Rattus norvegicus: one gene and its partner. The protein of the gene in region 2 interacts with the protein of the main gene of each other region in a pairwise test. Links are inferred from orthologs where the notes say so. Each region holds a gene or a part of one and is shown on either strand. Other genes may lie near its edges. The genes, in order: Psmc2 and Psmd5.

Region 1 (4,433 bases), on a different chromosome or scaffold from region 2:
GTTTTTGTTTTTTCGCACAAGGGCGAGACGTAGAAAATAACTTTAAAAACGAACTTAGTTCACAACGTCACTCAGGCCGGCCTCTAACTTGTGAAAATCATGTCTCAGTTTTCCAAGTTCTGAGGTTTCAGTCATAAACTACCACTGATCGCTAGGTACCTCATGTAACTGGAATCATATAACTATATATTATTGTATTATTATATTAGCTGTAATTAATTATATATTACATTATAACATTGTCTCTATGTGAGTGGTGTATTCACTAGTATAATGGTCACAGAATTTTTTAAGATCAAATAGTAATATATTCACATACCACATTTTTGTCTATCCATTCATATGCACTCGATCTATTCTTTATTTGGCCTATTGCTAATGCAGCTATGATCATGGCTGTACGAGTGTCTTTTTGAAATCCCACTTTCAACTATTCGGCATTAGATATTCGGAAATGGGATTACTAGTGTATATAGATTTTATTATAGTTGTTTTCAGTTTTCCACAACCAACAGTGTAAAAAGGATCTACTTTTTCCCCAACATCCCCTCAAACTTTGTTTTCTTTTTTAAAAATAATAGCGATCCATGGGTCGGGTGTGGTGGTACACGCCTTTGTCACAGCATTCCAGGGTGCGGATACCTGTACGTTCGAGGACAGCCTGATCTACACCACAAGTTGCTGGACAGCCAGGACCACATAGAGCCCCAGTCTTAAGAAGACAAAAAAAAAAAAAAAAAAAAAAAAAAAAAGTCATGCTAAAGAGAAAAAAGTGCTTTTGATTTGAACAGCCTTTCATACGTCCATTTATTGGGATGTGTCTATCTCCTTTACCTACCTTCCTTTCCCTTTATCTTTTAAATGCCCCCCCCCCCATCATAAAATCCAGGTTGTTTTCTTGTTAAATTGTAGTTCTTTGTATAACCTGGATGTGCACTCCCTAACCGAAATGCATCACCTTTATTCAGTTTGTACATCTAGCCAACAACTGTGTCTAAACTGCCAGGCATTTTACAAACACGGTTATTCAGTGCCTTCCCAATCTTGTGAGATAAAGAGGAAGTAGATATTTAGAGATTACATTACCCGGCTGTGTGTATTATTCATTAATGACTAAATCAGGATGTAAGTTCATCAACTGAGCCAGGGCTAGTCTTGGAAGTTCGTGTTCGGGTACCTAAAAAGACCAGACTTGTGAGGGAGCGGGGTAAATAAATGTCTCATAACAGGTAATAATCCTCCCTCCAGTCAGCAGTGCGTGGAGTCCCAAGGTGCAGGGTGAACCCGCGCCAGAGCGCTGAGCTACTTCCGGTGGGGAATTAAAAGGGAAGACACCAGCGGAAGTGGGGAACGTGCTGTGTAATCACTGAGACGCGGAGGGGCTTGCGGCTTCTAAAATGCCGGATTACCTAGGTGCAGACCAGCGGAAAACCAAAGAGGATGAGAAGGACGACAAGCCCATCCGAGGTGAGAGGACACGGGCTCGCCCTCCCAACCGGGAGGGACCGGCTCTGGCACCGGTCGGCCTTGGACCCAAGCGGTGACCGGTCTGGGCCGCAGCCCTGTCTGCTTCTTAACTGTTCCTTACTCACTTCTCCTGCTGGCTGACTTTTTATTTATTTATTTTATTCGAACAGTTTACCAGGCGTTGGAGTTCTGGGTCCAGTGTGGCCTTGCAGATCTTCAAAAAGTGGCCAGCCTGGTGGGCTTTGAGTTCTACCTCCCGGCCCTATCTCCTCCTTCCCAGTTGTAACAGCTTGGTGCTATCACTGTAGGGACTATCCTGAAAGACGATGGTTCAAAACTCGAGTCAGAGGAGATAAACTGTCTCATCCTGTCCCTAGATTCGAGCCAGTGCTGATTCCAGCCAAGAAAGAGTCATTTTACATTTTTCTAGATATTTTATTATATATGGAAGTATATATTAGACACACGCTCGCGCGTGTCTTAATCATAATGTATCTTGCAGTATATCAGCATCATGAATTTAGAGATTTTATGATAGCAGATGCTTATTGTCCTATATCGTGGCAGTACAATAACATTTAATTATTGATAGAGATTTAGAATGCTCCAGTTCACAAATGACCGTGTTTTATAACCTACCACATGGAGGTTCAGGCTAAATTCTAGTAGCAAGGATGTCATTTTGCCAAATTACTCCCCGTAGAGACTAGATTGTTGACATTTTTTTTTAACTCGGTGTATGAGATGTGGTCAACGTTTGGATGTAATCTCTGCCCCCACACATTTTTTAGTCTCATCTTCACGCGTTGTTTTAAACTTTTCTCACCTTAAAAACTATTTTGGGGTTGGGGATTTAGCTCAGTGGTAGAGCGCTTGCCTAGAAAGCACAAGGCCCTGGGTTCGGTCCCCAGCTCCGGAAAAAAAAAAAAAAGAACCAAAAAAAAAAACAAAACTATTTTTCAGTGTTGGCGATGCCTAGCTCTTCCCTTTCTTAACAACTTCAGCCCCTTCTAGCACCCACCGTTTATGCCTCATCCCCCAAAGAAAACATTTTTTTTTAAATTTTCATTGACTCTGCAATTAAAAGTGTTTTACACCATTGAGAGTTTCAGGTACTTAGGACCTATTAGAAAGATTCAAAAGTTTGTACCTCATCTGTTTATACTAACCTAACCCATGTCTTCCTCTGGATGTGATATTTTGTAAAAAAAGGATTAAGGTTATTTTGGAGTTCAAGTTTGACTGAAGTGTTGGATTTTATGTGTATCTTATGTGATCTTTACAGAAACATTGTGAAGGTAAAATTCCCTCCATGTTAGATGATGAAATTAAATGTTTTTCCTGAGGTGATCCGGCAGATATATGACCTTATTTAATTTAAGCCTGTCCCTGAGGTTGCTGCACTTTCAAGCCCCATATTCTATTGGCCCCTGTCTTGGTTCTGTGGCATCCTTTTGAATGGCACTGGGATCACTGACTTCAGGTGACTGTCATCCTAATCTGATGACTCTTAGACTCCATTTTCACTTATAAAGTAGCAAACTTTATACCTTATGCTTTCTCTTCTTAACTCTGGGAACTTCATTGTTTCCTGTCTCTTTCTGCTTATAGGCTATCCACATTGTTCAAACCAGTTCAAACGTGTTGGTCAATTTACTTTCAGCTTAAGCTTCCAGTTCCTGTGGCTCCTCCTGCTGATTATTGTGACTGTTGGCCCCACTTGGCCAGAGTAGTCTCAGTCAAGCCTTTTACCTCTTCTTTAAGCCCTCAGTTTAGCCCCTGTGCTAAACAGCTGATGGGTGACTTTTCTCTTTCCCCAAGTGTTCTCTTCTATGTTACCTTTCTCTCAGTTCTGCCTCAGAGGACTCTGCCAGTTTCTGTCAAATCTAATGTCATTTCTGTTCCTGGTCTTACCTCTCCTTTCTCCCCTGGGACTTAGTCACTGTTCCGTTTGTGTTTCTCTAGAATTTTCTCCTTTCGTTTCTCTAAATATACTAATATCTACTTTGTCTTAGGAGCATAATTTGAGAAAATCTATTCTCTTTTCAGTCTACAACCCATCTTCTTCATTGTCTCTTCTCCCTCCTGCCTTCTTCTCTTTTTTCTCCCCCTCCTCCCTCCCTGTCTTTCTTTCTCTCCTCTCCTTCCCTCTCGCTCTTCTTCTCCCGTTCTTTCCCTCTCCTTTCCTTTCCTTCTTTCTCCTTTCCTTCTTTCTCCTTTCCTTCTTTCTCCTTGCCTAAACAGCTGAAAGGACAAACTCAGTAGAAGGAGGACCTGGATGTAAATCTTGGTGTTGCTTCATACCAAATGGTCATGTAGTTACAAAGAAGTCACCTAAAGTTTTTTTCTCCAGCGTAGTTCGGAAGCAATGGTATATGTGGATGAAGTATATATCATTTGTCTAATCACTGCGACTCACACAGTGGCTTTGAGCAGATGGTGACTTCAGTTGTCTTGTGTCTTCTGCTTTACTAGGTAGCCTTACTAAGCTTCTCTAACCGAATTCTATTGCTTGTCTTCTTTGCTGTTTCACTTTCCTTCATTGTATCCTATAATGGTTTCTCTAGAATTCCCTTTCTGGTGATTCCCTCCATTCACGTCTGGAACTGTCTCCTCTCATGATTCTCAGCTAACCTCTCTCTCCCTCTCTAGTTTATAAAGGTTATGGAAGGTGGCAGGCAGGGCAGGATCAGTCCTTCTCGGCAGCTGCTTTCCTCGGGGTCACTAGTAGGCTACTCAGCTGCTCACTGCCTCCTCTGGTGTATCCCCACCTTCTTGATGATGAATTTCAACTCTATTAGTTCTTGGAGATCTTGGGAAACATTTCATTAAGCCACACACCTCCAGCGACTTACATGCTAAGCTCGACTTTGTCTTCTGACTAACACCCCTGTTGAGAGTCTGGCGACCTGGGATTGGCCTCATATACTCCATTTTGTTGCTTAGCCACTTCGGCCTAAGGTCCA
Region 2 (3,814 bases):
GCGCTTGCTGTGTGAGCTTGACAACATGAGTTCAAGCCCCAGGTCTAATATAAAGTAGGAGAAAACTGACTCTATGAGGTTGTCCTCCGAGCTCCGCAGGTGTCCTAGGTTAAGTGTGCCTATACATACACACCTCTCCTGCACCACTCCCCTCATTCACAACAATAACATCTAGGAAGTGAGGAGGGGTTATGGATGAGGAATCAGATTCCTGCATGAGTGGGCAATGCTGTTGCCAGAGGAAATGGGCGATTAAATGAAAATCTCAGCAACTCCCTACAGTTGGGAGGTCCCAGAGAGCACCTCCCCCATTAAAGCAGGCTATACCCATTGCCCTTGGCTGTCCATCATGACTAAATGGCAACCCTATATTCCTGAAGACGCCCACAGTTTGACTGCAAGACATAGAGAAATCAATTAACTGGCAAACTTCTTAGCTGACAGGCTCCCATAGTACCATAAACTGCTCTATGCAGGATTCAGGGGAGGAAAGACATCATTGTTCTTGCCTAGTGCTGGACCTGAACGCTGCCTCTCTGACCTGCAATGGCACAGAGTGTAATGACTGCTGTGAGGATAGCCACTGCTCTGACTGGATTGAGGCCTGCTCCAAAGCACAGAATTCAGGCTTGGTGCTGTGAGCCTTGACAAAAGGCCATACATAGCTGGGGGCTGGACAGTGTCCAGCACCCACATGGAGGTTGTAACTCCAGTTCCAGGGGATCCAATGCCCTCTCCTGGCCTCTTTGGGCATTGCACACAAGTGGTGCACAGACACATATCCACGTAAACACCCATACACGTAAAATAAAATGGCCCATGGCTGAGGAGGTCACAGGTCATGGGGGTGGGGTCCTATTGCTGTCTTGCTAGCTGCTCATCTGCTCATGTTTGTACTGAGGCTTGTGCAGCTTTCAGCCTTGCTCAGAGATGCTTCTTTGTGCAATGGGCAGTGAGTGGTTGGGAGTAAGTGACTTGAACACTCGGCCTCAAGGGAGACATTTGTGTCAAGGCTCCTCAAGCCTCAGGGGACACTGCAGATGAGAGGGCAGAATGTAAGGGCTGGAAGGTGGGAGGAGGGGACAGTCTTGCATGTGTGGCCATGACCTCATGCTCTGTGCATATGGGCAGCACTAATTAGACAGGATAATAGAAAAGACAGCAAACAGACATGAAGTTGGAGGGGGCAAAGGAGGAACAGGGAGAGGACATTGGAGAGGAGTGGAAGCATGTGTATGAAACTCTTCAAGAATAAATTGGAAAATGCCATTACGAAGTTTTCAGTCATATATCGAAGGTGTTTTTGTTTGTTTTTGAGACAAGGTTTCTCTGTGCAGCTCTTACTGTCCTGAACTCACTCTATAGACCGGGCTGGCATTGAACTCAGAGCACCTGACTCTGCCTCCTGAATGGTGGGATTAAAGGTGTGCATCACCACTGCCCTGCTTTGTTCTGTTAGTTTTTTTTTTTTTTTCTTTTTTTTTTTTTTTGTTTTTCTTTTTTTCGGAGCTGGGGACCGAACTCAGGGCCTTACGCTTGCTAGGCAAGTGCTCTACCGCTGAGCTAAATCCCCAACCCCGTTCTGTTAGTTTTGAGTCAGGGTTTCTCTCTGCACCCTGGCTGGCCTGGAGCTCAGACCCTCCCCGCTGGGGGCTGGGCTAACTAACGTGCACAGCACCCAGCACACTCGCTTAAACTAACCAGTGCGGTGCTGACTCATCCTCCCGCACAGCCCTCTGCCCTTCAGCAACCTTCCCGTCTACTTACTGATAGGTACAGAAGAGAGGAAACTGCATCCAAACACCTAATTTTCAGCTCTGTGGAAGCATTCTTTGCTTGATAACCTATTCTCGTGAGGAGGCGTTCAAAGCGGGTTCCTGTGAAGAACGATGTGACACATAACACCTACCATTTTAACACTTACCATAGCCAGTGCTGCCCATCTCGCTCAGTGCCGTGTTCCATCTCCAGGGCGCCCAACAACCCAAACTGAGCCGAGGGACTCGGTAAGCAAACCGCGCCCTCCCTTCTCCTTCACTGCTCTCTGGTAAGAGAACCTTGTCTGTGATATCTCGCAGTATCTGTCTCCCATCCCGGCTTGCTGGTCTTAGCAAAATGTCTTCAGACTGTCTCTGTGCAGGGGCTTGACTCATAGCCTCACACTTTCACAAAGTCAAATCCCATCACATGTAATTCATGTATCCATCACGCGTGTTACGGTGTTTCTGACTGTTCTGAGCAGACTAATTCTGCTGTACACAGGAGTACAGACACTGCTGGAACCACCGCTTTCCATGTTGTATGGCTTACATCTGCAGGTGGAACTGCTGGCTCACATGCTAACTCTGTTTACTTTTCCTGTGGAACTTCCATATTGTTTTCTATAGCAATTGTACCACTTCATATTCCGGTAAGAAAACGCAGGAGCTTTTCAACATCTGAACACTTGCTATGCTTTAAAAAAGGTAATGGCCGTTGTACTGGGTATGAAGCGAAAGCAATGTATTTTCGTGCACTATAACTATCGGCCTAAAGCATACCACTACGTTTGCTGCCATTGTGCATGTTGGTAAGTGAGGAATGTGAGGCCCAGAGAAGGCACGTAAATGAAATCATACAGCTTCCATCAGTGGGAGCTGGGGCACAACATGAGCTATGCCATAAAATGCAGTGAAGGAAGACAGTAGCAGCAGACCACTCAGTTTTTGTTGGGGGAAAACCTAATAGAGAGTGAGGAGTAAAAGTGATCATGAGACTGGGAGACAAGTTCATGATGAGGGTAAAGACTGTCCCCCACAAAAGTCGTTTCTGCAACAGTTATCCCACCAGCAGATGGACCTGAACATGGAATCCTGGCCAAAGATACAAAAGCTGAGACAAGGCACACCAACCTGTCTTCTGTAAAACTTGTTTCCCTTCAACACTGGATCCCAGGATTCCAACTGTGTCTACAGCCACACCAATCATAGTGGGGTCTTGACTGTCTGCCATTGCAAACACTTTCTCCAGAAAGACAGGGTAGCGCTCACAGATCTGCTGAGGACTATCCATGACAGCCAGGTTTCCAAAAAACTTCACAAATCCTAAAATATTTACAGAAATACACTTTAGAGAGGGGTAAGAAACACAAATTGGGGGCTCCATGTTTCCAGGGGAATATCAATAAATGCAGGCGGGAGGAGGAGACAGAGAAGCACTGAGCTGCCTACAGAGGGAAGCCAAGGAGACTCAAAGGCCCATCCTGTGATTCTGAGAACAAAAATACCACAAGGTGTCAATGGGCCTTGGGGGAGACGTAGAGGACTATCTGCTTCAGGCCAGCCTGCTTATACACTGCTTTATAGCCAGGGAGGGAGAGAAGGAAATGGAGGGGAGAGACAGGGAGGGAGGGAGACAGGGAGAACATGGGAACACCAGTGGTTGGGCGGTAAGCCTGAAGACATTACTGGCAGAACTGCTCACCAGGTGCAATCGCTGTAACAGTCCATAGACCACCCCACGGGGCATTGCCCTCGGTCACCGAGAGTGTGAGGAACCCATCACTTCACCGCAGACTGCACGGCTCTGGATACAGGGCACGGCAGTACTAATCTTCTGATATTTCTCACTCAGCTGTTGATTTTTTGAGATGGGGTTTCTCTTGTGCCCCTGGCTGCCCCAGAATCACTCTATAGACCAGGCTGTCCTCAAACACGGATATTTGCCTGCTTCTGCCTCCCAAGAGCTGGGATTAACAGCATGCACCACTACACCTGGCTCTCACCGAATTCTTAAAGAAAACCATCGAATGCTCTAAAGAGTGCCTATGTTTTCA

The links.
Region 1: the proteins of Psmd5 (region 2) and Psmc2 interact in binary tests that used the Homo sapiens proteins (3 or more experiments, as listed by UniProt). The link is inferred for Rattus norvegicus from reciprocal best matches to the Homo sapiens genes PSMD5 and PSMC2.

The regions. Positions count from the first base shown.
Region 1 is NC_086022.1:14,159,279-14,163,711, reverse strand, and holds the start of Psmc2 (26S proteasome regulatory subunit 7), read left to right. Parts: upstream 1-1,321; 5' UTR 1,322-1,397; coding exon 1,398-1,467; intron 1,468-4,433.
Region 2 is NC_086021.1:38,534,867-38,538,680, forward strand, and holds part of Psmd5 (26S proteasome non-ATPase regulatory subunit 5), read right to left. Parts: intron 3,084-3,814; coding exon 2,892-3,083; intron 1,878-2,891; coding exon 1,768-1,877; intron 1-1,767. UniProt on the Homo sapiens protein: Acts as a chaperone during the assembly of the 26S proteasome, specifically of the base subcomplex of the PA700/19S regulatory complex (RC).